Linked DNA regions of Arabidopsis thaliana. The protein of the gene in region 1 interacts with the protein of each later gene in a pairwise test. Each region holds a gene or a part of one and is shown in the gene's direction. Other genes may lie near its edges.

Evidence for each region.
Region 2: the proteins of AT4G01920 (region 1) and WRKY36 interact in a two-hybrid assay, tested with the Arabidopsis thaliana proteins (one large-scale study listed by BioGRID).
Region 3: the proteins of AT4G01920 (region 1) and AT5G50180 interact in a two-hybrid assay, tested with the Arabidopsis thaliana proteins (one large-scale study listed by BioGRID).
Region 4: the proteins of AT4G01920 (region 1) and AT5G64850 interact in a two-hybrid assay, tested with the Arabidopsis thaliana proteins (one large-scale study listed by BioGRID).

What each region holds. Positions count from the first base shown.
Region 1 is NC_003075.7:827,859-833,666, reverse strand, and holds AT4G01920 (Cysteine/Histidine-rich C1 domain family protein), read left to right. Parts: upstream 1-2,378; 5' UTR 2,379-2,587; coding exon 2,588-4,564; 3' UTR 4,565-4,841; downstream 4,842-5,808. Other genes in the region: AT4G01925 (Cysteine/Histidine-rich C1 domain family protein), read left to right, coding at 1-101, 389-494; AT4G01915 (uncharacterized protein), read right to left, coding at 5,370-5,455, 5,539-5,594.
Region 2 is NC_003070.9:26,275,605-26,281,441, reverse strand, and holds WRKY36 (WRKY DNA-binding protein 36), read left to right. Parts: upstream 1-2,186; 5' UTR 2,187-2,325; coding exon 2,326-2,391; intron 2,392-2,570; exon of another isoform or gene 2,571-2,917; coding exon 2,918-3,454; intron 3,455-3,555; coding exon 3,556-3,669; intron 3,670-3,757; coding exon 3,758-4,204; 3' UTR 4,205-4,494; downstream 4,495-5,837. Other genes in the region: AT1G69800 (Cystathionine beta-synthase (CBS) protein), read left to right, coding at 5,117-5,164, 5,298-5,514, 5,629-5,837. UniProt on the Arabidopsis thaliana protein: Transcription factor. Interacts specifically with the W box (5'-(T)TGAC[CT]-3'), a frequently occurring elicitor-responsive cis-acting element.
Region 3 is NC_003076.8:20,428,146-20,434,147, forward strand, and holds AT5G50180 (Protein kinase superfamily protein), read left to right. Parts: upstream 1-2,307; 5' UTR 2,308-2,970; coding exon 2,971-3,083; intron 3,084-3,323; coding exon 3,324-3,456; intron 3,457-3,546; coding exon 3,547-3,742; intron 3,743-3,979; coding exon 3,980-4,104; intron 4,105-4,187; coding exon 4,188-4,346; intron 4,347-4,423; coding exon 4,424-4,738; 3' UTR 4,739-5,001; downstream 5,002-6,002. Other genes in the region: AT5G50175 (uncharacterized protein), read left to right, coding at 1-336.
Region 4 is NC_003076.8:25,919,016-25,924,461, forward strand, and holds AT5G64850 (sorbin/SH3 domain protein), read left to right. Parts: upstream 1-2,386; 5' UTR 2,387-2,569; coding exon 2,570-2,587; intron 2,588-2,850; coding exon 2,851-3,129; intron 3,130-3,975; coding exon 3,976-4,023; 3' UTR 4,024-4,403; downstream 4,404-5,446. Other genes in the region: ABCF5 (general control non-repressible 5), read right to left, coding at 1-678.

The sequences.
Region 1 (5,808 bases):
CCATATGTGGTAATAGATGACAATACAATACAGCATTTCAGCCACAAAGAGCATTACCTAAGGCTCCACGATAATGGTCTTCTTTGTGACGACAACAAGCGGTGTAGGCCATGCACCCATCCCATCTGTCTCCAGTCCTTCTATGGTTGTATGGATTGTGACTTTATTCTCCACAAAAATTGCGCTGGATTTCTTAGAATGAAATGGCATGTGCTACACAATGAGCGTCTTACTTTAGTTACTACACGTGTAAAGACCACCGAGCTAGTTTACATACAATGTGTGTGCTCGGAAAATTTTTAGGGCTCATGCCAAAAAGCACATTAAGGCGTTGGAGCAGATCATATAAGGTTGTGCTCAATAATAGTGTATCTCGTCCATTTTGCAGCTGTTGTGAGTTGCGTTGCATTTTTCCTATCATCTTGAAGAGACTTGGAGCCTCACAAAAATACTGTTGCTCTCCTTATTGCGCTAATGCAATGAGTGTGAATTAAGATGTCTAGCGAGTGGGGTTTCCTTAAAGATTTCCTGTAACCATTTCTTTCACAAGTTCATTTCCATTATAAGTTGATTTCCTTAATGTATTATTTATCTAAGAATCTTGCAATTTTAGTTTGATACGATCTTGCTGTTTCAAATGCTTTCTGACATTCGTTTTCTACAAAATTTCACCTTGAAAATGAACAACACAATACTATCAGTCTTGCATTATCATGATTGTCAGCTTTTCGCTTCTTTCTCAACGTATTGTATAGTCTGTTTCAGGATCATTAGAAATAGTAAGAAAGTAAACCATTGTTGCAAGAAATCTTGGCAATGGCGTCTTCAAACAATTGTTGTTTCAGATTACTAACATAAAAACAGGGACTTCAGTTTTTATTAGGAACAGAGTTCCGATGTCTGAGAACCAGGACAGATGTTTTCTGCATAATTCATTTACAGTTAAAAACACATCTTGATTGATTCAACATGAAACCAAACACAGACTCCATTCATTATTATTCGCAGAATCTAGAGACCGAAATGAAAATGTTTTATCAACATGTACACACGTTTTAAGGCAAGCCAAGATTTGTGTCTTTCTTTTGAAAAGAAAAAAAAAAGAAATTAGATCTAAGAAACTTGCAATTTTAATTTGATATGATCAGCTGTTTCAAACAATTATGCCTTGTCTTTGGAATGAAGGATCTTTACTTACGCCGTTGTATTGAACATAATGCCAACTACTGGTTATTGCGCTATGTAATGCATATGAATCAAGATGTCCAGAGAGTGGGCTTTTCTTTTAGATTTCTTGTACCATTTCTTTTACATGTTCATTTCCATTATAATAAGTTGATTTCCTTCATGTATTATTTATCTATGAATGTTGCAATTTTGACTTTGACGATCTAGCTGTTTCAAACGTTAATATGAATATTAATTCCAAGATCTAGTGAATTAAAAAATAATTGAGATATCCAGCTCATAAAAAAATAGTTCAGAGTTTAAAAATGGATCCGAATCCAATGTTTTTAGATTTCTTTCATTTTCATTTTTTATATAAATAGTGCTAATTGATACGACTAAAGAATTAAAAATTGACTATTTTAAACTAGTGGTTCATTTTAATAAAATAATACTAATGATTGATATTGTAAAACTATTTTTCCGTTTACTTTTAAATAAGGTTTTGTGCTAACTCATCCATTTTGCAACTTTATTTTCTACCTCCAATAAATGCAGATTATTTTTATGAAGTCTAAAATAATACAAAATATGATCTTTATATATATATATATATTGTAAACGTTTTTACGGTTATATACATTAGATTTTTAAAATTTTGAAGGTAAAGTTAAATTCTTCTTCGCGAAAGTTTTAATTTAACATATTATTATCGATATTTTACAAAATTGTTGGTAACAAAAAAAAAGGCAAAAGAGGGTTATAATGCATATTATTTTATATTGTTAATGATTAATCTGTATTTGATGGAGGTAGAGGTTGAAGTTGCAAAAATGGATGAGGTATAGTGGTTTTTGCACAAAACCCTTAAAATACTTTAAAGATAATAATTTATTTTTTTGTATATCTAAGTTAAGTAATTGTAAATAAATATTAAACATTGTAACTAAAAATAAATAAATAAACATAATAAATAGAATGAATCATTTACTTGAGAGTTAGAAGATACATCAAAATGATAATCATAGAAAAAAACACCAAAACGATTGTTTATAAAATTAATTCAGTTGATGTAAATTATTAATTATTATAACTAACAAAATGCATGAAAAAACCGGCACGGTGCGGGTTTTGGGCCTAATTATTTTTTATTGTTAATGAAAGACCAATAAAACCAAAAGTCTAATAAAAAAATAATTTTGTAAGGGCATCGTTGAGGATTTGAGATTAACGCAGAGAAGACTTTTGAGAGAGAAAGGAGCTTAGCTTTGAGATTTCAGATCCAATCTTCTTTTTCATAAGAGCATCGTTGAAATTAAAGAGAGAAGACTTTTGAGAGAGAGAGAGAAACGTGAAAGAAACTTAGCTTTGAGATTTCATATCCAACTTCTTCTTCTTCAAAATCTCTTAGTAAACGACCATGGATTCTAAGGGAGTGTTAATGCCGTTGATCCACGAGCATCTTATGATGCCTTGGAAAAATCTGAAAAGAGGTCCTTGCTGTGGTTGCTGTGGACGCTTTGAAGCTATCAGTGATGGATACTACTGCAAAACCTGCGATTTTTTCGTCCGAAAAAATTGTGCTGACGAGCCCTCCGAATATATCAAGCATCCATCTCACCCCAAGCACACTCTTCAGCTGCTAAGACCTGAAAGACCTACTAATTTCTGCAATTTGTGTGGAAGGATGTGCCCAATATTCTATCGTTGTGATCTATGTGACTTCGACATGGATTTATACTGCTCAAAGTATCCACCACCAGAGGTTATTGACATTTCCAAGACGCATCACCACAGGCTTACCCTTCTCAAGAAGTGGATCAAGCAATGTATATGTGCTAAATGTTGCAAGATTATTGGTAATGAGTTTCCTTACAATTGTCATGAATGTGATTTATCCTTTCATGTGGATTGCGTATGGTATCCGCCCGAACTAGAACTCCGTTTAGAGGTAAACCATTCTTACCACTCTTTACACCCTCTTAAACTCTACGCAAAGGGTCAGTTACCGGATTATTCTGATGGGAAATGTCGTCTTTGCGCAAGAAAGATTGATGAAACATTTTTTTTCCATTGTTCTCCGTGTAACTTTACCTTGGACAAGGTTTGTGTTTTGCGCCCACCACAACAATCTCTTCTGAATTTGAAAGCTCATGATCACCAACTCACCCTTCTCCCAAAACTCGATTCTTTTACATGCAATGCTTGCGGGCTGAAGGGAGATCGTAGCCCTTACGTATGTTTTCAATGTGGTTTCATGATCCATCAAGACTGTCTTGGCCTTCCACGCCTCATCAACATTAACCGGCATGATCACCGTGTTTCTCGAACTTCTGTTCTTGGTGTTGTGAATTCTGTATGTGGAGTTTGTCGCAAAAAGGTGGACTGGTCTTATGGAGGTTTTTCTTGTCAGAGGTGTCATGGCTATGTTGTTCATTCAAAATGTGCTACTAGAAAAGATGTGTGGAATGGGAAAGAACTTGAAGGATTACCCGAAGAAACAGAAGATATAGAGCCATATGTGGTGATAGATGAAAACACAATACAACATTTTAGTCACAAAGAGCATTACCTAAGACTCAACGTTAATGGTGTTCTATGTGATGACAACAAGCGGTGCAAGGCATGCACCCATCCCATCTGTCTCCAGTCTTTCTACGGCTGTATGGATTGTAACTTCATTCTCCACCAAAACTGCGCTGGATTTCTTAGAATGAAATGGCATGTGCTACACAATGAACGTCTTACGTTGGTTACAAACAAGGATGAAGGCTTTAGGTGTTATGCTTGTGATAGATTGTCCAATGGTTTCAAGTACCAGCATGGGAATAAGGCATTCGATGTTCGGTGCATTTCAATTTCTGAGCCACATATCCATCCAAGTCATCCTAATCATCCCTTATATTACTTTCCATCAGACGAAGTACAATGGTGCACTGGTTGCAACATGGAGCAGGACTTTGTGCTTAGTTGCATTGAAGATAATTGTGGATTTTTATTATGCTTTGGATGCGCCACTTTACCACAAATGGTAAAGCATAGAGTTCATGATCATCCTCTCTCACTATGCTATGGCGAAAAGGCAAGTGGTAAATATTGGTGTGACATTTGTGAAAAAGAAACAAATCCACATACATGGTTCTATACGTGTAAAGATCATCAGGCTAGTTTGCATACAAAGTGTGTGCTTGGAGACCTTTCAAGTCTCATGCGAAGAAGCACAATAAAAATTGAGGGCACTTCATATGAGGTGGTGCTCAATAATAGTATATCTCGTCCATTTTGCAGCTGGTGTAAGATGCATTGTATTTTTCCTATCATCTTGAAGACACTTGGAGCCACGAATGAATACTCCTGCTCTCTTGAATGTGCAGAGTGTAGATATACAGACCGTTAAAGCCCAAAATGAAGCAAGATGTTTAGCGAGTCGAGGTTTTTCTTGTAATGTTATTTTTTTTCTTTCTTACGAGTTCATTTCCTTTATAAGTTGATTTCCTTAATGTATTAAATATCTAAGAATTTTCTGGCACCAAACTCCATATACAATGTGTGTGTTGTAACATATATCATATGAGGTGGTGCTCAATAATAGTTTATCTCGTCCATTTTGCATCTGGTGTGAGTTGCGTTGCATTTTTCCTATCATCTTGAAGATACTTGGACCCTCGGATGTTTAGCGAGTAGGCTTTTCTTTTAGATTTCTTGTACCATTTCTTTTACAAATTCATTTCCATTCTAAGAAGTTGATTTAATGGTACTTATGGCATGTATTAGTTATCTAAGAATCTTGGAATTTTAATTTGATATGATCAGCTGTTTCAAACGTGTTATGCCTTGTCTTTGGAATGAAGGATCTTACTTACGCCGTTGTATAGAACATTCTGCCATGCTACTGGTTATGGAGGTACCATTGAACGCTAATGTTTCAGATGGGATGCCATAGAAATTCACCCAACTGATCAAAGAGAACTTCTTAACTCAAGAATGTTGTGTCATCATCATTCCCACCAGTACTAAGATTGACATTTTTTGAAGAGCAAACTATAACCATGATAGACATTCAAGAAGATTCCCTAAGCATAATGTCAATGTGCATTCTGTTTCAGATCATTAGTAATAAAGTAAACCCTTGTTGCAAGAAGTCTTGGGCAATGGCGTCTTCAAAGCATACACATGACTGTTTCTTTCAGATCATCTGGTATTCAGAAACTACAATGCTTTGAAGACGCCATTGTAGCAAGTTCTGTGTGTAGACGAAGTAGCACGTTGTCGTCCACGTAACCAATCCCTTCACCAGAAAACAAAACAAAAAGAAACAGAGTATTCATGTGTATGTTTTTGTTTGAATATGTCTGTATAAACACTTATTACCTGGCCAAAGATCTCTATGTTTGCTTCTGGATATATAGTACCACAGATGGAAGAATCTGTTAAGCCAGGTTATGACAATCTTTAGACTGACTTCTGATAAAAAACAAAGAGATGGTTGTTGAAGCGCGCAGTTTACTTACTGCATTATGAAGATTTCGGCTAAAGGACAGGCGACACCAAGGAGAGTGGCAATGGTGAAGCCAATCCAAGTTTATCCAAAGAGAACCAAATAAATTCTGCTAAGGCAAATAGAATGTAAGCTTCTATGTT
Region 2 (5,837 bases), on another chromosome or scaffold:
CAACCCGTCCGGGTTGGTCCGTTCGTGTTTCGACCAATATTATAAGCCGATCGGATCCGTTTTTGAAAGAACACTTGTGACTTGTGAGATTAAATTTTTTGGTAAAGTGTGACTTGCGAGATGATAGTAATATGCAACAATGTCACAAAAATAAAAATAAAAGTAATATGCAACATTAAATAACCAAAATTTGACTTAGCCATTACGATACAGTTTAAATTATGCGATGGATTCTGGAGCACGATGTAAGAGATCATTGACTATAATATCATTATTGTGTAATAAAAAATTATTTTTTGCATTTTTAAAATTATAAATATTTCAACTATCTAGATTATTATAATACCACTAGATTGGAATGACATCGTATATATGGTAGAAATAAAACCGGATCCTGCGCTCCTTTCTCTCCTTATTATTGGTCGACTTCAAGGCCACGAAATCGAATATTATTAATTTACAATGACATTTCGGATATAAATTTAAATGTTTAATCTAAAAAGTATACTTTATTTGAAATAGGATAATTTCAGAAGAATCTTTAATTATAAAATCCTTATATATGTCTGTATTAGTGATTTAGCTGCTCGTTACGAATATATTAAAACAATAAATAAAATTACTTCCATAGACAAATGATTCAGGTTTAAGACGAGATTTGACGAAATCGTCTAACGATGATGGAGTATAAGTTCAAAATAAAAGTTTGTGTGGAGCTATAAGAAATATCCCCAAACAATGTAAATTGTATTCGGAATCCTAATTGTCTCAGTTTTAGTTGAAAATCTTTTTTTTTTCTGGTTAACACACTAAAAGAAGCAAATGTAGTTTCTAAGGAAGTCCATCCTAGTTAAAATCTTGAAGCCGACGGTGTAAACCCACTCGGATTGTGGAAGATGAATTTTAGGAGTCGAACAAGAGACCAGTCTGGAGAAACTTTGAGTTGCATGATATAGCTTGTTATAATTGTATTCTATGATTGAAAAAAGTACTGCTCGGTTTCTTATGATCTCATTGATGCGTGTGAAGATGAAAAAAGCTCTGTTTGATCTTCACCAAAAAGAAAAGTTATTCGATAAAGTATTCAACTAATATAAAATGACCATTCGTTGTTTGTATTATCATTCAATAAAGCAGCCTTTCTAATATTGTACTATTCTTTAATAAACCCCTTAACTTACGTTTCCAAATAGAAAGTTCTTGCATTAGTCATAAATTAACATTTCATAAACTTTTCATTATGAAATTCTTATAATTTTATAACATTATAAAATTCATGCAGTGTCTATTAATTAGCAATTTAAGACTAACATAAACTTAATCAACTCTGCCAACTGGTCAACGTAATTAAGTAGCTGCAGATCGATGATGTGTCATTTTTTCATTGGATCAGAGAACAAAATGCGTTTTACAGCTGAAAGTTTCTTTTACAAAATGCACTCATTTCATGCGGTGTCCGTTAGTGATTAACGCTGGATAAATAGATTGCTTTATTCAATTTGAAAAAGATCAAAATATAGCACATAAATAAAAAAAATTAGAATATTTGTTCCGATCATAAATTTATGCGTATACAGTATATGTGTATTTTTATAGGATTAAAGATACATATAAATTTCTTATATTTAATAGATATCGTTAAATGTTAAAGAAAATTTATCTAAAAACTAGCTAGTAAACATACAAATATATCACAAAAAATACATTCACCCCTGAACTGCCTATAAAGAATGATTGTGGATTAATTTTTGACATATATTAGGTCTAAGAAAAAAGAGAGAAAATATTGTTTTTTTTCTCTCTCAGCTTTTGTTTCCCATGCATACAGCTTTATGTTAGCGAAGAACTAGTATGATCTGGTACTCCGGTACTCCGGTACAGACGAAAGAAAGAAAGAAAAAACTTGTTTTAGTTGCCTCAATGTCAACTACTATGCTTTAATTATGATGCCAATTAACAAAAAAAAAACGAAATATTCCGAAGTAGTGTTCAGACCAGATCCATCTGGATTGCAATACAATTTGATATTATTTATATGATTGGCATTATCTTATTATATAATGCTGAGTCGTCTGGTTGAGATTATTCAAGAATAGAGACGAAGCTGGTAACATGGTGGTGGTGATTACCATTATAAACAATATTTTTAGTCTGTATATCTTCTTATTAAAATGCGAAGTCAAAGTCTGTTGGCTTTGGGTCCCTTCCTATAAAAACCTAGTTAGGCAAAAGAAAACGACAATAATTTTTTTTTTGATGTAAAGAAGAAAAACAAAAAGAGCAGATCCAGTTGATCTCAAGATCGCATCTGAATCATATAATAGCATGATCAAAGAGGAGACCGTTTCATACTTCCAAACTTTCGATGGTGTTATGGCAGAATCTGACAAGGTAAAACAAAACACTATTTCTCGATTTAACCGTTTAAACCACAAATTTCTCTAATTCTTGTTTTATTTTCAATCTCCTTCTGGTGTTTCAATCGGTTAGAATTAATCTCATGATCATATGATTCTGTTATATATTTACATATAGTTACCATATAATTCTTATGTCTGAAATTAATACAGTTTTACTGCATCTGATAAAAGTCAACTTGCTTGTTCGGAAATGGTCTCGAGTATCGAAAGTTCATTATTTTTTTTGGGACGGTTATTTAATGCTCAAGGATACCAAGATTTTCCGGTATTTAGAAAACTTCGGATGAAAACATTTATAATTAAGATCCGCTCTAATTAATATAGGTCGGATCGATCCATTTTTTTTCTTTTTTTCTTTATTGGCATTCGATCATGTTCACTTTTATAATACTATTTACTTTGTGTGTATTGAGAACTATTTATCGTAGAAGTTTAGAAGATAGGTCCAAACAGTTTTTAGATAAAAAGTGAATATAAATGTGTCTTGGATATTACAGGAAGAGGAGCTTGATGCAACAAAAGCAAAGGTGGAGAAAGTTCGGGAAGAAAATGAGAAATTAAAGCTCTTACTCTCTACGATTCTTAATAATTACAACTCTCTTCAAATGCAAGTCTCTAAAGTTCTCGGACAACAACAAGGAGCTTCGTCTATGGAGCTAGACCACATTGATCGTCAAGATGAAAATAACGACTATGATGTGGATATATCACTTAGGCTTGGAAGATCAGAGCAAAAGATCTCTAAAAAGGAGGAAAATAAGGTGGACAAGATTTCTACTAAGAACGTAGAGGAGTCAAAAGATAAAAGATCTGCACTGGGTTTTGGATTTCAGATTCAAAGCTATGAAGCCTCGAAACTAGATGATCTTTGTAGGCAGGTTAAGCTTGCAAACGCTGAAAATAAATGTGTATCTTCGAGGAAAGATGTCAAATCAGTTAGAAATGAAAACCATCAAGATGTTTTGGAGGAGCATGAACAAACAGGTTTGAAGAAAACTAGGGTTTGTGTTAAAGCATCATGTGAAGACCCATCAGTACGTACCATCAAAACCATACATTACATATATGTGTTTATTTACCATTTCACATCTAATTTAATTATTTGATCATATACACGTTACATGAATATATATAGATAAACGACGGTTGCCAGTGGAGGAAATATGGTCAAAAGACTGCGAAAACCAATCCTCTCCCACGAGCCTATTACCGTTGCTCCATGTCGTCAAATTGTCCCGTTAGAAAACAGGTATAATACATTCTATAATTTCTCAATCCAAATATCTGTTTATTAACAATTGGTTTTGAGTAAAAACTTTTAAAACGAATGTCTATAGGTGCAAAGATGTGGAGAAGAAGAAACCTCCGCTTTTATGACAACGTACGAAGGAAACCATGACCATCCTCTCCCCATGGAAGCAAGCCACATGGCAGCTGGAACTTCCGCGGCTGCCTCCTTATTACAATCTGGCTCCTCCTCTTCCTCCTCCTCCACCTCAGCGAGTCTAAGCTATTTCTTCCCTTTTCACCACTTCTCTATCTCCACCACTAACTCGCACCCGACTGTAACATTGGACCTCACACGACCAAACTATCCCAATCAGTTACCAGACGACTACCCTCTATCGTCCTCCTCTTTCAGTCTCAACTTTTCCTCTCCAGATCCTCCACCTCCATCATCGCATGACCACACCTTGAACTTTAGTGGCTTGCGAACACAAGCTCCGTTGAGTACAGATTCATTATTGGCCCGTTATCGAACGAGACTTTCCGGACAGCAATAAGCCAGTAACTGTATCGGTATAGCTAGACACAAGTCTAGAAAGTAACTGATTTCCGTTTTCTTTGTCATTCATTTGTTTTTCAGCCTCTGAAAGAGAGATCTGGTTTTGGCATGATATGCAAAATGCTTATATACTTGTAGATATCCAAATGTTTAAATTAGTGGATTACCTATCATATCATGGATTATATATGTATATGAAGGTTTTGTAAATTAATGGTCTACACAAATTTGATACACCAAATATTTTTTTATGCTTATAAAAATTTTAAATACAATGTTAATTTTTTTTGTTGGTGAATTAAGTAAGTATGACTATGATGACACAATGATATCTAAAATGGAAGGTGGTTTTCATGCAGATTGACAAAATCTCCCTCTTTCACTTTTGCAAAATTGTTTGATTTTTACAAAATAAACTTTAGTTAGCATCACATAAAATAGTGGGTTATTTGACAAATTATCAACACAACGTATTATTATTTGAAATCACATACGTATTGTTTACTAATTTGATTATTATTATTTTTTGCTACAGACATTTACTAATTTGATGGTCAAAATTGTAGTCACCATTAAAATTATTTACATAAAAGAATTGATTATTTTACTTCCCTCAATTATCAAATATAAATTTGTGATGAATTTGACCGAAATGAAGATGTCTGAATTGTTTGAGCCACCTAAATGTTTAGATGGTCGATTCTTAAAAAGGAAAGAAAACAAAATGACCAAAAGAAAGAAAACGTATGAAACTATGATCCATCAGATATTACTTTTAAATCAATCTTGGGCTCAGGCCCGTTACTACCGTTTTCTATCTTAGAATTCGGCCCATCCACGTCAGCGACTCCGGTTATAACGCTGTTAAACTCTTTTGACACACGACCACTTATTATAACGTCACGTGTCAATGCACTTCATCAGGACGCGCGTAACCGCCAGAAAAGCGAAACCAAAGGTCCATCTCCGACACGTTGCTTATCCGACCACACTCACCACTGTTCTAAATTCTCTCTTTTTTTTTTCCTTAACCAAAAAAGCTCTCTTTTTTTCTTCTGGGTTTCATCGTTTCCAATCTAAAATCATCGTAGATTTGTTTGAAATTCTTCAAATTGAGCCGGTATCAAGACATGGCGGGAAGTGAAGCGGTAGAAGATAAGGAGATAAAATCGGCGGTTTCAAGCTGTGAAGCGTATTTCGAGAAAGTACAATCAAGGAAGAATCTACCCAAATCTCTTCAAGAAACCCTAAACTCTGCTTTCGCCGGAATCCCAGTCTCCTCCTTCCCTCAAGTCCCCGGCGGCAGAGGTAAAAATTAGAAAGATCCCATTTTTTTCGATTCCTCCAAATTTCCTGATTTCTCGTTTAAAGTTTGAGACTTGGCAATGGTTTAGATTCAATTAGTGTTTTGTTTGATCGTAGTGATAGAGATTCAAGCGGAAACACCTGTATCAGAAGCAGTAAAGATCTTATCAGATAGCAAGATTCTATCAGCTCCTGTGATTAACACAGATCACGAGAGTTCTTTAGATTGGAGAGAAAGATATTTAGGAATCATTGACTACTCTTCAATCATCTTATGGGTGCTAGAGAGTGCTGAACTCGCTGCAATCGCGTTGTCCGCTACGTCA
Region 3 (6,002 bases), on another chromosome or scaffold:
GATCTTTGCAAAAGTAGAGCAACAACCACCATTACTCTCTCATGTCTCATCTTCTTTGTTTCTTCATTCTACACAATCTCCACCGCTAAATCTGTCACGAATCCGCTCTATCAACTCCTTCTGTTCATCGGCTTCTTCCTCGCTGCAGCCTTGTCGCTTGTTTTACTGGTGGCAGCAGCACGAGCCACCATGGTTGCGTGGATAACGGTCCTCGTCTTACTGGCCTTTTCGGGTACACGTCGCCGTGTTTTAGCGCGGAGGGGGAAGACGATCACGGCGGACGTGGCGATGAGCTTGTTCAGGGTTCTGATTAGAGAAGCAAATCCTCGTGGTTAGTCTCATGAAGATTGTTTGTTGTTAGAGAGTATTTACATATCACTTTTGTATATAACAAAAATATATGTATTTTTGTGAATGATTTTTCCCCTTTTGTGTATTTATTTATTCGAATTTTAATTTTAATATATACATAATGTATGTGTGCTTTAAATGTTTATTCAATACTTCTATAGTTACAATTTTCTATAGAATTAATCTTTAGATGTTAAAAAAATGTTTTAATCTTTCTAATACGAAAAATATTTATTGAGTTATTTCATATCATAATCGGGGATTCTGATCGCAATTTTGATATTAAAAATGGTTAAGGAAATAAAACCAAAAATGATCTTAATTTCCTGCCACTGCATATTTCACTATAAATAAATGGGATCAGAAAGTTTACAGTTTTCTTCTCTACTATACTACAAAATTAGTTTAGCTTTCTAAAATAAAATAAGGAAGAAAACCTTAAGTAAAACCAATTACATGTCTAAAATATACTTACAAAAGATCCTCAATTATAAATTTTAAAAAGGTTGTTGTAATATCTCATATCCATTTAGATGACGTCACATACAATTTGCTACCTCTTGTCACTCATTTAAACATACAATACGTTGTACTACGTTGCGACACTTTCACTAGACTGGTGAGATATTTAGAACAAATACGTCAGCCCGATAAGAAATATGTTTTATATTCTTTTACACAAATCTAAGAATGGATTTGTTAACTTGAGATATCTTATGGTTTTTGTTTATGATTTATATCATAAACACGCTTAAGTTACATCTTCACGAAGATACAAATCTGAACAATGTAGATGATGATATGATGCCTCTTTTCTCACGTCATGGATTGATTCTGCGATTAAACGTAAGGTACAACATCTTCATGTTTGTTGTCCTTCAGATGGTATTTGTAATATCCCCATGTTTTTCTAGCTGCAAGACTCGGGTATCCTTAAATCTCGTTGATGTGACCATGGATGATGCCGAGTTCGTTTCTTTACCTTATGCTGTTATGCATTTGTAACGTATTTGGTCTCCCAGTGAGGCCACCTTTGCAAGACTTGTCTCTTGCTATCCTGTATTGGAAGAGTTAAATATTGTTGAATGTTGGAATCTTCCGGAAGTCATTCCGGCTGAATTTTTTTGTCACTGATCAAGAGACTCAAAATAAAGCTATGCGATTCTACGGTTGTACAAGTACATATAAAGATAAATATGGAGTTGTGACTGATGCTCCTCTTTTACGCGATTTGTTTATTGATGATGACCAAGCTGGAAGTTATTTAATAAACAATTTGAGTTCCACTGCCAAGTTAAATGTTTATCTCGCCTTTGGTTTGGACAGTTTTGATGAAGCAACAAGGGTTTCATCGAGGAGAAGTAGCATCCACAATTTTCTGCTCGGGATTTCAAATGTCGGGGAAATGATCATATATCTAAACACTTTAAAGCTATATATGTCATGTCAATTCCAGTATAAGACATGTACGTTCTCTATCATGATTCATGAAAGTTTATGACCTACATTACTTTTCTTTTTGGTTCGAGATCATCTATCAATACTCAAAATTAGAACCGCTTCCTCGGTTTGGTTACATGTCCCACATGTATGCTGATATTTATGTACCTAATTGGAAATGGTTAAAAACATTTCTTGGGAGTTGCCCAAACTTGAAAATCCCTCATCTTGGTAATGATCTGCTAAACTCTAGCTAGTGTGAATCAACTAGTGTTCATGTGTTGTTGTAGCAAAGCTTCTCTGATGATGAAATGCAAAGAAGAAGCTACAGAACTAAAGAAGAACAATGGAAGCATTATAGGTGTGTATAGTACTAATGAATCTCTTTGCTTTTGACCACAAAGCAACCTACTTGGTTCATGTTACACAATCAAATTTGGTTCCAAATGTCACATATAAATAATAATTAAGCATAAAAATTCCCTATTTATAGCCAATATTTGCTTCTGAATATTACTCAAATTAAACCTAAAACTCAGAAGAATGTTTTGAGAAACAAAAGCAAGAAATTTTGAACCATGTGATATGTTTCACCAATCAATCATATAAACTTCTTCTGGTTTATCTTTTTATTATCCTATCATTACCACTCCATACTCATAACTCTCTCTGTCTCTCTATCTCCCTCTCCACATCAAGAAGAAGTCTCTGCTAGTTCCAAAACAGAACAAGTGAATCCCTCAAGTTTCTTATTACAAAACCCAAAAACCAAAGTGAACCAGTGTTGTTGTTTGTACTCACAGATCCATTCTCCACTGATTCATTTCTTGCTCTGCTTCTTCTCTCTTAGTTTTGTTAAGAATCTTCTCTTATCCATTGTGTTTTTTCTATTTTATAAATACATATATAATTTTAGTTGGGGGAGAGCTTGCCTGGTGTCGCCTTCTTCTCTCTCTAAGACTTGTGCTTAATTTACGGACATGTGAAGATACTTCGCTTTTGCCTCATCGAAGGGCATGTTAGCTATTTACTTATCTCTTCTCTTCTCTTCTTTGTCTTGTGAGCTCTCAAATCTTCATAGATACAAATCAAGAAAGTGATCAAACAAAAAAAGGACAAGTCTTTTTGGTATTTCAGATCGAGAAAAAATGTGGTTGCAAGGTTTGAAGTAATCTTGCAATGGATTCTTTGACTGGATTTAGAATGGAACCCAAATGGCAAATTGATCCTCAGCTTCTCTTTGTTGGTCCAAAGATTGGTGAAGGAGCTCATGCTAAAGTCTATGAGGGAAAGTAAGCTCCTTTCTTCTTCTTTGTTAACTTTCTGGATTTGATTTGCTTATGAGATTATTGGGAAAGTTTGGATTTTGATTTGTGGGTAAGTGAAGTCTAGTATTTGTTCTATAAGGGTATGAATAAAATGCTTGTTTGGTACACTCATCTATCTTGATTTGTCTAGTTGAATTATTGAAATTGTAAAGTTGGAGTTTTTAATGGATCTCTACTGTGTTTGGTCGTTATGATCTGAGACAGATACAAGAATCAGACAGTTGCTATAAAGATAGTTCACAGAGGAGAAACACCAGAAGAGATTGCTAAAAGAGATTCAAGATTCCTTAGAGAAGTAGAAATGCTCTCACGTGTTCAACACAAGAATTTGGTCAAGGTTCTTGTTTCTTGAGATCTATGGCTGTTTTTGTTGTTACTAGCTTAAAGGGTTTCATGAGTTCATGATTGTGTTTTGTCTCTGGATCAGTTCATTGGTGCTTGCAAGGAGCCTGTAATGGTGATAGTTACAGAACTTCTTCAAGGCGGTACATTGCGTAAATATCTATTAAACTTGAGACCCGCATGTTTGGAGACTCGTGTGGCTATCGGTTTTGCGCTTGATATTGCTCGTGGTATGGAATGCTTGCATTCCCATGGGATCATTCACCGTGATCTCAAACCCGGTAAAACTACCTCTTTAAACCTGATATGTATCATTTAATGATCTGCTTAAAGTATTTGCAAAACACCTTGCTTCATGGAAACCACATGCTCAGATCTCAATCACAAAGAATCTTTTCTTTCTTTTTTATTGTCTGACACCACACACGCTTCAAGTTCTTTTAATATTCTGGTTATGATTAAGATTTAATCTTAAGTGTTGAAGATGGTGTTAAAGGATCTATTGTTCTGTTTTGCAGAGAACTTGCTTTTAACTGCAGACCATAAAACAGTAAAACTAGCAGATTTTGGATTAGCAAGAGAAGAGTCACTGACTGAGATGATGACGGCTGAGACAGGAACATACCGATGGATGGCACCTGAGGTTCTTCTTTACTTATAGACATATTTGTTCATTTCTTGTGCTTCTCTTTGCTACTTAAAGACAATCTTGGTGGAATATTACAGTTGTACAGCACGGTAACTCTTCGATTGGGAGAGAAGAAGCACTACAATCATAAAGTCGACGCCTATAGCTTTGCAATAGTTCTTTGGGAGCTTTTACACAATAAATTGCCTTTTGAGGGAATGTCAAATCTCCAAGCAGCATATGCAGCAGCCTTCAAAGTGTGTAACACTGTCTTGTTTTGCTTTTGATTTTCGCTGAACTTTATTCTCTTTGTTTTGACATGTTTCTTATACAGAATGTGAGACCAAGCGCGGAGAGCTTACCGGAGGAGTTGGGCGACATTGTAACATCATGTTGGAATGAGGATCCGAATGCTCGGCCCAACTTCACGCATATCATTGAGTTACTTCTTAACTATCTCTCTAAAGTTGGATCTCCGATATCCGCTATTCCACAACGGATTCTTGCTTCGAAGAACACGCTATTGCCACCGGATTCTCCTGGAACTAGCTCTTTGATGGCTAAGCTTGATGAATGTGGGGAAACTCCAAAGGCCAAAAGTGAAGACAAACGAAAAGGTTTGTTTTTCTGCTTCAATCAATGTTATTAACCTTGAAATCACAGAGTGGTTTTAGGACCAGAGATTTGGTAGACATCACTCAAATTATTCATGTAATAATATCCTCCCTACCATATGAATTTAGCAAGAAGTTCATTTATATAAATAAATAGTTATGTAATTGTAATGAATTTAAAAGTAGACGTAAAGAAAAAGTTTCCTAAAGAGGCTCATGTTCCCTAAATGAGAAAGTTTTAGTTTTGTTAAATTTATCGTTTTCTATTTTTCTATCTCTTCTATTATCAAGACTCGAGGATTAAAGAAGTCAACTCTTCATTTTCAACTTTTTTTTTTAATCGTTTTGGTTGTGATTTTTTTTCGACCAATTAGTATCACAAGATGTCGAACTTTTGAAAACCAAAGTTTGATATCTCAAATGCTACCAAGTGTAGGTTATGTGGCTTAGCCAAAGCATGTGTCGCGTGCTTCACGAAATAAGGGACAATTGGTGCATTTAGCGTAGGGATGAAATTAGAAAACTAGAAATGAGAAGTTATCTCAGAGGTCAAATTCATATTTGGTTATTGATTCACGGATCAAATATCCAAATGACTTCTAGCCAAACCGTTAGGAGAAAATCCGTCGGTTGAGAATCATATATGGCGCTGGTGAGTGAGACCACCGAAAACAAACTTTATATTTATGAATATAGTACGATTCAAACGAATCAACATGACACTGGATGAAGACATCGGTGGTATGAATCTTCTGATTTTGAATCTGGTAACACCATCACCATCCAAAATAAGAAAAAAAAAATACGAAAAATGATTAAAGAGAGCGTCTCCCATCCCAATTACTAAAAAAAAATGGGAAAGAAACCACCCGGCAATTGCTGGTAGCCGTAAAAACCAAACAAGAAAATAGATATTACTTTTGTCCTCCCAAAGATTTTGTCCAGTTAACCAACTTTTCGAAGCCATGTCTTACGTTTTCAGTATATGCCTCTAAGGCAACTTGTATTTTCTCAAAGTGTGGTTTCCATATTGTCATAACTCGGCTTACCTAGAAAAACAAGTAACAATGGTCACAATGTATAGTGCAATGTCAAAAGAGAATCAGACATAATGAATAAAGATGGAAACATATTAACCTCAAGATAGTCGTAGGAAACGTCGAATGGTTGGGTGAAATGTGGGGTCAAAAGCCTGCTTACATGTATGTAACACCTCGATGGACTTATCGGTTAAGTATTGAATTTTTGGTTGGAGATAAATGGTTAATGTCACATACACATCTTTGATGCTTGGAATCC
Region 4 (5,446 bases), on another chromosome or scaffold:
TCGTCTCTGCAACAAATCAAATTCATCTAATAACCTTCCCATAAGATCCAAATCATCAACAGATCCCTCAATAGCCTTCTGAACTTTCTCAAGCTTCTCAGTAATCTCCATCTCTTCCTTGAAAGCAGTCATGAACTCTTCCCTCACAGTCTTACTCATCGAAACCTCAAATTCCTGGCTCAAGAAAGCTACTTTCATATTGGGTTTGGCCTTGATTACGTTACCAGAATCAGGCTCTTCTTGACCAGTGATAATCCTGAGCTGAGTCGTCTTCCCAGCTCCGTTCACACCAACTAACCCTACTTTCTCACCTCTCTTCACTTCCCATGTCACATCTTTAAGCACAGTCACGCCTTTGTAGCTTTTCCTTATGTTCTCTAGCTTCACACCTGAAGATATCCCAGAAGCTCCGTTTTTGGAACTCTTCCCGTTTCGTTTCCGATCGGAGTCTTGCTGAGAGGGTTGCTTCGAGAAAAGAGATTCGATTTCGTCTTGACGCTGTTTAACGGAGGTCTCGAGGCTGATGGTGGAGACTTGGGCTCTGATGGTGGAGATATCGCGTCTAGGGTTGGAAATGGAAGAGATTTTGATGAAATTGGAAGGGATTGGAGATGTACGTAGACCGGTGAAGAAAGTTGAACGGAGGTCGAGGCTATGGAGATTCGTTGATAAACCCATGGTTATATGTAGCGATAGAGAGCGCGAGAGAATCTCGCTCTACTGAAGAAGAAGAAGAAGCAGCAGAGTAAGAAACCCTCGAGAGAGAAATCAAAAGCTTTGATAAGAGTTTCTCTCTATCGTTTTGAGCGTGAGCCACCAGATTTTATTTGATTTTTTTATTAGTTTGTATTTTTTTCTCTATATTCGAAAATATATCATTATCAATTATCAATAAATAAAATCAATACTTAGAAAATAAATTAATATTATTGACGACCAAAAAAGAAAAACCCAATAAAATTATCTTCAGTTATCACAAAAAATTGGAATGAAAATAGTGAAAAATCGAAATATGTATGGAGCATGAAATATGTATGGAGTACTATTTTACAATAAAAAATGTATTTGGTTGCAATGTTTGTAAGTACTAATGGTAGTTGTATTGCAACTTTCTATGAATGACAAGTAAATGCATTCTACGATTGTATAATTCTAGTTTTTGAAGACCATATTTTGATATAATGCCAAAGGAAAGAAGTGATACAAATCGGAGTATTCATTTTTACTAACTTTGAGTTCTCTGCCACATGCAATGCAATGTTCTTACAAAGTCAATAAATGGATATGAAATAAAGACAAATATAACACACACAAAAAACAAACGAAAGAATCTAATTTTGTGGTGAGGAAGAAGGAGAAGAGAGGGTAGAAGTCTTGAAGAGATAACAAATCCGGTGAAGTTACCTCTTTTGTGGTTCACATAGCTCCTTTGAAAAACAGACACTTCTCATACTCTGCCACGTGTCTAACTATATCATCAACCACGTCAGTTTCTCTGTGGATCTCTTCACGCCACATCGTCACGCAACTTGATTTCTTTTTAAATTTATAGTTTTATTAAGTTTTTGGTCGTTATGTATATGGTTTTAGTAAGTTGAATTCGTAATTACAATTTTAAATGAATATGCGTCAACTTATTCACCCGTTAATTTTAAATTGGCTGTTCATGGAACTTAAAACGTACGAGCACACATCTTTTTTCTCAAATATGACTGAAATAGTGAAATTGGAAATGAAAATTAAGAATCAACATGTATATATATCATGTAACGGCTCGCATCATTAAACATGAATTTATGTTAATCGCCTCCATGACTAAATAGTTCGGGATTGTTAATAGCAGTCATACAGTTGACGAAGCAAAGTCGTACTTATTTATATCTTATTGTGGACTTTTTTGTTGCTGTAGATGATATTTAAGTGGATACAGATTCACTAACGTCGGCTAGGTTTGATTTTATCTAACAAAATACACAAAATGATGTGAGTTTTTTTTTTTGGGTTCTTAGTGGAGTCAGTGTGTGTATTCATTCAGTGTTCACTAACCGCTCTAGGAACAAAAAAGATAAATGAAAATGAACTAATCAACTCCAAACAAATTTTGCTTAAGCTATTGGAAAAACATATCACTATAAATTTAATAAAATCAGTTGCCGGCCTTCAAATCTTCACCAATAAACTTATGTTTTAATATCATAACTTAAAGGTTAGACCATTAATCGACAGTATACTAAACGACGTCATTTAACAGGAAATGAGAGCAAAGCTGACGCGGATTAAGCGTGTGTGCGTGTCCGAACGAATGGCAGTATCGTAATTAATGCACAAAAGCTAACCTTTTCCCGAAGCAGAAAAAAACAAAATAAAACAAAAATATTTTTGATATGTTGTGTACAGTATAGTTGTATCACCACCAATCGACCTGTTACTTTGCTGTATTAAATTTTGGTATACTTTTTCTTTCGCTTATAAATTGCTCTGTATCACCCATCTTCCTCCTAAGATCATCTTTAACTTATTATAAAAAAAAAAAACAGGATTCACTGCTAGCTACAGAAGCTTTGATCACATGGAAGATCGAAAAGAGGTTTTTATTTTTTATTTTCTGGTCTAATCCCTTCGTCTTCTGTGTTTTCTCCTTACATAATATTAAAGTTAAAGTGATACATTAAATAAAATGGGATGTTCATGTCAACTTCTTGCATTAATATTCGATTTTGATGTGAGAAATTAGTCTCTGAATCTTGGTGAAAAAGTCTTTTTTTGTGTGATTGATTTTTAGGATTGTGTTTTTTTCTTTCTAATGGTTCTTGAAAATAAAAGTAATTGAAATGGAGATTTATTTGGCAGAACAAGAACTCGCCATGGCTATCAGTACCACAGTTTGGAGATTGGGATCAAAAAGGAGGATCAATTGATTACTCAATGGATTTCTCAAAGATCAGAGAGATGAGGAAACTCAACAAGAGAGATGCTTCTCGAGCCAGTCTTGGCAACGAGGAAGAACTCATTAACCCTTTTCATGATCAGCCTCCTGTTGATACTGCCAAGCCTAAGAAGCTAACTACGGTTCACAGTGACAACAACAACCGCAATGAGTTCTCTCACCATCACCCACACTCTCCTTCTGTAAGATTCTTGTTGCTCTATCTTAAAGATTCATTGTTTTGAATGTCAGTCCATTGTATATGAATTTGTATTAGCTCCTGCGTTCATTGAAACCGGTAGGTAGGTGTTTTGACTTGGTTAGGATATGAAATCCAACTTTTTAGCCTTATATGGTTTATTTCTGGCAAAATGGGTAGATTTTGTTTGGGTCACACATTGTTTACCCTAGTTCGTTGTTCATGCTCATACCAATACCAAACTTTTGAAACTTATGTTTTTGATTGCATTTACATGTTAACACTTTGAATATCCATTGTAAGATTCATATTTTCTTGATGAATAGGATGATAATGTTTGTGAATTGTTCATTTGATGTGGACCTTCTTGGGTTGGTTAGGTTTGAGAATCTAATATTGTAAGCATTATATGGATTCTTCTAGCAATTGGGTAAAATGTGGTCCTTCAATGTTTGGTCAAGTTGGTTGCTTATTGCTGTTTATGACTACACATGAAATTAATTTTATATACCCCACCAAACTTCACAACTTCAGATTTTGAGTTTAAGTTGGATTTGGATCTTGATTGGATATGATTGTGATCATATGGTTAAGGAATCACATGAATGCATAGAGTATGTTTTATATTGATGATAAAATATTGAAAAGAATATGTAAAACTATATTTTAAAACAGAGTAAACTTATAGTAGTACATTACCCTACAAAGTTATTATAATGGATTCTTTCTTTCAATCTGAGTAAAGCATAATCCTTTATTTTGTACCTACCATGTGAAGTGACATAAATAATGTTGTTCTTTTTTTTGGATAAAACATACTTAATCTTGTTTGTAAATGACTTTGGAACAGAGGAGGAGAAGAATCTTCAGCTGCTTCAACTGTTGCGTTAAAGCTTAAAGGTGTTTACTTTTATTTATGATAATAACAACAAGGGGTGATATTTGAAGACAGAAATGAGAAATGGTAGTGCCACCTTGTTTTCCACATGTGTTTCTTCGGCTGCATCACAATTAAAATTTGTCTGTTGTTGTTTACTGTGTATCTAACTATGTTTGCTAAATGTCAAGTGTAGTAATATATATTTTTTGTAATTTTTGTTTGGTGTATTTAGACACTGATAATTTTCATTATTGTGTAATGTAGGGCAGATTTGTGATACATTACGATAATGCGTTTTTAGATTAATGAAAAAAAAATGAATGGTGTTTACTCGAAAAGTATTCAAATATCATGTTTGCATATATAACAATGAAGTTACGTTTAATAAAATCATCCTCTCGAAGTTGTAGAGATATGGATTACAACCAATTGGCAGGAAAAAAAAAGCCTTAATCCATACGAAGTTATGGTGGTGGAATTTATAATGGATATATGCAATATCAAACAGTAGTTGTTTATTTATTGGTGTTGTATATAATTATGATTTTATAAAAAGTAAGACGGTTAAGTGAATCTTTTGTTACCGTTGTGATAGATTTCCTTTTAGTTTTTGCAACTCAAATAAGAAAAGGAAACAATCGAAATTTCCTTTTTTCATCAAACAAACGTTACTTATAAATACACCCATTCTCTCTTGTTCTTCGAAACCCTAATCCAGAAATAACAAAATTCATCTTTTTCTTTCTCTAGTTCTCTTCTAGAACTATGAAGTAAACCGTAAGATTGACTTCATCCGTAAGATTGATCGGAGCAGAGAAAGCATATCTTTTCGTGAATTATCTCCATCCTCTGTTGTGAATACATCTTAAGTCAATCCAGATCGATTTCATGTCTCAAAGTCTCCCATAATTTCACTCGATCAACGATCTCGGCGGTGGATTCTGACGAGGACGGCGAAGGAGAACAAGACGACGAAGGATGCGAAAGCGGAAAAGAGGATATCTAGAAGACATGGACAGTGAAAGCGACTAGCGAGTAGAGAACCAAATCATGATATGTGTTTGGTTCTGTTCCCATGTCCTCCGTCCGTCCGGCGACATCATCTGAAAATCTTGTGTTTCGTCAATCACAAGCAAAGGTATTTCTTTCTTAATTTCCTTTTCTATTTTTTGTTTCTTTTATTAAAAAGAATTTCAAACTTATATTATTACTTTTTTAATTAAGTTATATTATTATTAAACTATTTTTATATTCAATATACTTTACACATAATATAAATTTTTAAAACTTCTTTTTCTTTTATTAAACAATGTTTGTAAACATATTTTTATATTACTATTTAAACTTTAAGGGTTTTCTTTTTATGAAGTGTTAAATTTTCAGATTTTGTGTAAACTAATTGGATACATCATCCAAACCCGTAAGAGGTGTTCTAGGTTCA